2 linked regions of the Caenorhabditis elegans genome follow. The protein of the gene in region 1 interacts with the protein of each later gene in a pairwise test. Each region holds a gene or a part of one and is shown in the gene's direction. Other genes may lie near its edges.

Evidence for each region.
Region 2: the proteins of sftb-6 (region 1) and mafr-1 interact in a two-hybrid assay, tested with the Caenorhabditis elegans proteins (one large-scale study listed by BioGRID).

Annotation. Positions count from the first base shown.
Region 1 is NC_003280.10:96,625-99,548, forward strand, and holds sftb-6 (Splicing factor 3B subunit 6-like protein), read left to right. Parts: upstream 1-1,779; 5' UTR 1,780-1,786; coding exon 1,787-1,935; intron 1,936-2,001; coding exon 2,002-2,269; 3' UTR 2,270-2,337; downstream 2,338-2,924. Other genes in the region: luc-7L3 (Luc7-like protein 3), read right to left, coding at 131-183, 435-557, 618-872, 923-1,177, 1,223-1,318.
Region 2 is NC_003279.8:10,621,378-10,625,188, forward strand, and holds mafr-1 (Repressor of RNA polymerase III transcription MAF1), read left to right. Parts: upstream 1-1,795; 5' UTR 1,796-1,800; coding exon 1,801-1,883; intron 1,884-1,933; coding exon 1,934-2,273; intron 2,274-2,322; coding exon 2,323-2,444; intron 2,445-2,495; coding exon 2,496-2,688; 3' UTR 2,689-2,984; downstream 2,985-3,811. Other genes in the region: arch-1 (Protein archease-like), read left to right, coding at 3,094-3,270, 3,562-3,711, 3,757-3,811.

The DNA of each region.
Region 1 (2,924 bases):
CCAGAAAAATCGAAAAAGAAGTTTTAAAATCCGAAAATTGTCGTTTTTCGGTTTTGTTTAAAAAAAAACTTTTTTTTCGAAAAAAATTTTTTTTTTTAATTTTTTCGGCTGCACCCCTGATTGCTAGTACCTCCGCTCTTTTCTTTTAGTCTCCTCGGCTTGTTCAAACTCCTTCAGCTTTTCCTGAAATTTTTTAAATTTATTTTCCGCGAAAAAATTCGTCTACATATTGCCAGTTTTTTCCAGTCAAATATACCTGCTCTTTGAGCCATGACACGTAAAAAGGCGTGGGAGGGTGAAAAAACCTGAACCATTTTTTTGGGGGGAATACCTGTACGTCAGCTTGTGTGCTTGAGAGATTTCAGCGTTTTTCAGAGCCCATTTTCTAATAGTAAAAGCATATATAAATATGATATATACGTGTGCATATTTACCTTAAGCTGTTGAATCATAGTCCGGATTTTTTGGAAACCTGTGTGCATTTTTCCAGTCAAATGTTCTTCGATACGCTGTTGAGCGTCATTCACGATGAGCATGCTCCCACACACTTCACAAACCTGTAATTGTATTTTTCTTGGATAAAAATCAGTCTAAATCTTCTAGATTTTTAGATTTACCTCCATTGGCTTAATTGCCATTTCGTCAAGCATCGGTGGCATGGCTTGTGGGTTCGGTTCGTTCATTTGTGAAAGTTTCTCTTCAAGACCTCGTTTTTCAGCTTCAACCATCTCGCTTCTCGCGACTATTTCCTGGCATTTTGTCACATTTCCCTCACTGCCGGCTTGCTCTGCGTCTCGTATCATATTTTTCAGGACATCATCTATCGAATTGATCTCCAATTGTACCTGACGCTTCTCTTCCTCTAACTTTCGCTGAAAAATTGCGTGTTTTCGACATTTTTTTTCAGATTCAAAGAGTTTACCTTTCCACTATCATCCATTCCGGACAATTTGTCTTTGTTCTTTCGAATTCTTCGCTGATTATCTTCATCTAATTGAACGAGAAACCGCATAAGACGTCTTTCAAAGCCAAGTTGTCCATATTCTGGAGATTCTGGATACAATCTTCGAAGATTATCGTCATGTACTAGCTGGCACGCTCCCAAATCTGCCTTTGTATTGATGAACATGTCGTGAGGACAGAAACCGACCAGGAAGTACGGGCATATGTCAGGATCCTGTAATAATCTATCAATAGTTCCAGGGGAAAAAATTTAAGTTACATCAAATGTGACTTTTGTGTCTTTTCCTAGTTCAACATTCCGTTTGGGACCCATTAGCTCGTCGAGCATTGCTGCCATAGCGTTGCGAGCCGACATGACTGTAAAATTTATTTTTTGTTGAAAGTTTGAGAGAAAAATCGGTTGAAATAACAGAAAAAAACATCGTTTCGCCGGAAAAAAAACAAAAGTTTGTTTGCAAAAACACTAGTGTATATTTACGGTAAACAAAGTGCGCATGCGTAATTTCGGAGTGTCGTTGTTGTGCATTTTCCTTTGAGAAAACGCGTTAAGATCACTATTTTATCGACTTTTTTATTATTATTATGAAATATATTCAATAGAATTTTCTATTTCGAATCATTTTTCAGTAAAAATGTTGAGAAAATTCAGTAAACAATACCAAAAAAGAATTCGATGAATAAACAAGGCGCGTGGAATTCCCTGTGGAATTTCGGAGTGTCGTTGGCTAAAATCTTTCGAATTATAAAATTTAATTTGCTTTCGAGACTCTTTTTGCCTCTTATTATTACGTTTTTTCTTCAAATTTTCAATTTCAGATTCACAATGGCAATGGCAAATCGTCAAAACCGTGGCGCAAAGCTGCCGCCAGAGGTCAATCGTATTCTTTATATTAAAAATTTGCCGTATAAAATCACGACGGAAGAGATGTACGAGATTTTTGGAAAATTCGGAGCAGTTCGGCAAATTCGAGTGTAAGTTCAAGCACAATTATGGTTTTGCCTGTTCTTGAAGAAGCCCGACCAGTATTGATTTTTCAGCGGAAACACTGCAGAAACTCGCGGAACTGCATTCGTCGTCTACGAGGACATATTCGATGCGAAAACCGCCTGCGAACATCTGTCTGGCTATAACGTTTCGAATCGGTATCTTGTGGTGCTCTATTATCAAGCGACAAAAGCGTGGAAGAGAATGGACACGGAAAAGGCTCGTACCAAGCTTGAAGATATCAAAGAAAGATATGGAATTGGTGGAGACATCGACAAGGAAAAGGAGAAGTTGGGATTGTTCACTCCAAGAAGAATTTAAATATCGTGTTTCTTTAAACCTTATTTTATCATTTCCCTCAACCTTCAATGAATGATAATTTCTCTGTGATTATTTTTCTTTGAACTTTTCATGAAAAAAGTATAAAGAGTAGCTGAGAAGTATTTCTAGAAGCCTTTCCCATGTAGTTTTCACTGCAACTTTTTTCGAACGAGGGGTGAGAAAAAATGCGAAAAATCGGTGTTTGCACACAATACACCGCATTTTACGACATTTTCTACTTGCTTTCTTTTCTTGTGTTTTTCACCGATTTTTCCCGTGTTTTCTTATTAAAACTGATAAATAAATATTTTTTGTTAATGCTAAAATAATTTCCAGATGAAAAAATTGTGAATTCAGCCGGCAAGTAGCGGTGAAAGTGGTCAATGTAATATGATGGATTACGGGAATACAAAACCCAAACTTTTCCCCAAACATGATACATATGATGTTTAGATGCTAAAAGTACCTGATTTTCATAATGAGACCGCTGAAAAAGTTTTGAGATTTTCAAAATTCAACTTTTTTGGTAAAAAAGTCGAGATTTTGGCACAAAATGTTGAATTTTGAAAATCTAAAAACTTTTTTAGCTGTCTCGTTATGAAAATCAGGTACTTTCAGCATCTTAAAAGCATATATATCATGTTTCAGAAAAAGT
Region 2 (3,811 bases), on another chromosome or scaffold:
ATTGCCAATTTTAATTTAATTTTTTTCTTCGAATAAACTATTTTAAATTTAAAAAAAAGTGAGTTTGCACATTTTTTGGAACCAGCTTTTGCTGAAAAAAAATGTGTCCCACGATTTTGAACGTCGCTCACTGTATCAATTTTCGAAATTCTTTTCTCTCTACATGAAACAATACTACGTCCATTTCAAGCTCTCAAAATCTAACAGCACAGTTTCAAATTCAAAAACACGAAATGATTGAGAAATAGAGATGCTCTTTTCAGATGGATTACTTTAATTCAATCTCTGCAGCTTTACTTAAACAACGCAGGTAGGAGGCAGATACTGTCGATCAGAGCGGAGCATTGAGCTTCACGTAGCCTGGCTGTCAAATTGTTTCAGTTGTCCATCCATGCACCATGTCTCCTCCGCCGTCGACACAGTAGGGTTTCCAGTCACTTCCAGCTACTTGTTCCAATCCACATCCTGACGTTAATTTCCAATCGATTCAGTTGTACTTCCTGAAATAAACACCAATATGACATTATTTGTAAATGTATTGAGGCAAGCCATCTACAAGCTTATGAGTTTAACAACAAACTTACAAAATAGCTCCCACTTTGGAGTTGTCTTCTTTTTCCTCTGTCTCCTCTATTTATCCTTTGAACGTTTCGTCTTGAGTAGTTTGTCCGGGGGGTTTTTGTGACATATGCCAGTATGAGTATCTGAAAAAAAAGGTTCATACTCTCAATACTCAAAAAGCTGTAAACTTTATGTTTTATAACATTTTAAAACATCAGATTTACACCTCTGACCCGCACTCACTTTAATATTCCGTTTGGTTGAAGTGAACTGGTTTCCAATTCACACACGACTGTAGGTAAATCGGCTCCATCGTCCGAGGTCCACTCGGAGGTTCCTTGCATACTCATATCTTCGTTCACAGCATCGGAATTGTTGAATTGGCATCATCTTCCCATCCTTCTTGGCAGACCATTTGTTGAAAAGTTGAAGACTGAACACTATGACTAAAACTACTTGCTCATATACCAGTCCTTATCAAGATGTACGTGGTCGTTCAAATAAAAATATTTTTTTAAATTGTTTTCCGTATACCGTATATCCTCTATTAGTAAGACGTGCAAAACTAATTTTCGGACACCTAATTTGATGCAAAACTAATAGAGGGTGCAAAACTAATTTTCAAACAGGTTTTTTCTCATGTTTCCCATTAAGTTATAGCAAATATCATCAATTTCAGTAACACCTTATGAACCAAAATGGACTAATTAATTCCACTAAATTCTTGTATTGAATATAAAACTTGTGAATCTCATTGCCTTTTGAAAATTTGATTTGAAACTTGTTAATTTTTTAATCTAAATATTCCTGATTCTGTCATAAATGGTCGTGTTATTTCGTTCTCTAGACCCCTGTGACATCAATTATTTGAAAATCTAGTTTTGACTATAGTTTTTAATTGCAAAACGACTTTCGAAGCGAAATTTAACAAATTTCATTTTACCCCCAAGGTATACGGTAGACAAGTACGCAAACACCAACAACAATATTGCACACATTACACAGAAGTTGCCGACAGTTTGCTAAATCAATGGGATTTTTTTACAGCAGTTTTTCCTTTCTTCACGATAAATCGTTCTGAAAAAGTAATTAAAATTGTTATTTTAGTGTAAAATTTAAAAATTAAATTATTGTTTTCAAAATGCGCGATTTTAAATATTGCAATCTTCATTACGTAGGATTTTTCCGCACTTGAATTCTCCAAATGTTCTCGAAATTTATTGAAAAGCTTTAGAAGCCATGAAGTTTCTGGAAAGCTCCGAAATGGATGTTTTTTCGCAGACACTCGTTACGGGAGCAATCGATTGTGTTATTGATTTCAAGTGAGTCATTTATCTCAATATTAAGAATAAAACAAATCGTTCAATTTCAGATTAGAAACGTATTCGTCGAAAATGGTTACTAGCGAAAAGAAACAATGGAAATCGAACGATAAATCTGTGATATGGGGTGAACGCCAGCCTCTAGGATCTTACGAGGAAATGGTGATGAGTGCATCGCCCAGTGTTGGTCACAATCATCGGCTTCGCCATTTATCGGAACGCTCGTGCTCAGGAGGATCAGACAACGATTTCGACGTGAATGACTACCTGATAAAAGACTCAATTTCGCGAAAGAAATTGTATGATCTGACTCAAGTTCTGAACTGTTCGTTTCCGGATCACGATTTCAGTAATGCCAACAGTGAAGCGTTTGCTCTCGTCAATTATTCGGTTAGTAGCTTCTTACAGCTAAATAACATTAACGCGCATGATTTTTCAGGACCTGAGCCGTCTCGTTGATATGAAGCTTGAGACAATTGTCAGAGACTATCACGTGAGAAGAGAAGAGCTATGGGGAATTATTGATGAGGCAATTGTGCCCGGTGACTGTCAAATATACAGGTATTCCGTTTGATTTGAGAGGATATTTTATATAATTTCCATATTTTTCAGCTTCAAGTCCCAATTCGAAGACGATCCGTTTACCGAAGACGGTTGCATTTGGGCACTTGCCTTCATTTTCTACAACAAAGGACTCAAACGTTTTGTTCTTCTCACAATTCGTTGCCTATCGAAACAAGCCGACACGTCCATCGAAATTTTCCCCGATTTCAGTGAAGACGAGGCGGAACCACAAGAGAAATAGAGTGCAGATTATTCATGTAGAACGCTTAGAATAGACTAATATTCAAGGCGATATAGTATTAGTCTTGCCGGCCAAGCCTCTTTCCCTCTTGTAGTTCTTCTCTTGTAAATAGATTCCATTTCTCATCAATCCTCAACCTCCTCCTTCACCTCTCGAGTTCGCATTTAATTTGCCACTTCCCACACACCTACCGCTAGATTAAAGGAACAAATACTTCGATTCTCATTCCTTTTCGTGGCTCGTAGATATCAATTTTCACAAAAACCGCATCATAAATACATAAAATTGTTTTTTTTAAGTTAATCAAAATCGATTATTTTTTGGTTTCAACCGTTCTGATATTTTAATCAATTTTTCCTCAAATTTATTTGGTTAAGTTCAGTTTAATTTATTTTCAGTGAAATAATGCCGAGCACATCAATGATCGAAGATCGTTCTGAGATCGAACGTCGGCGATTCGAATATCTCGATCATCCGGCAGATATTCAACTTCACTCTTGGGGATCCACAATGGAAGAAGCCTTCGAAGCATGCCTCGTATCAATGTTCGGCTATATGACGGATTTGGCCAAGGTTGATGAGGTAATTTGAAATTGAATTAGATCGCCTCTTGCGCCTTTTAAGAATTTTTCCACTTTCCTCTGTTTTGTCTAATTTTTCTTACTTCACTTGAAATATGCTTATGAACATATGAAATTGCAATTTAAATCGATATCTTGTAGAAATTTTAGCTTTTGTTCGTGTATTCTCTAGTTTTGAAGCTGCTCCCAGAAAAAAGCTCAATTTTTGCCTTCTTGACTTCATTTTCGAACAAAACCCACAATTTCTACAAGAAACTGATTAAAATAAAATTTTAATTTTGCATTATTTCAGATGTACGAATTCTACTGGAAAGCTTCTGGCGATAGCTTAGATGGTCTCCTATTTCAGTTTCTAGACGAAGCGCTCAACTCATTCCACGCTGAACCATGCTTTGTCGCGAAACGGGTTGAAATATTGCGATTTGATAAGAAAAAGTTTGAGGTATTTGATAAAAAGTTTCTGAAAATTAATCTAAATTCTATTCAGATCGAATTCCGAGGATGGGGAGAATCATTTGATACTTCAAAGCATGAAACAGAGG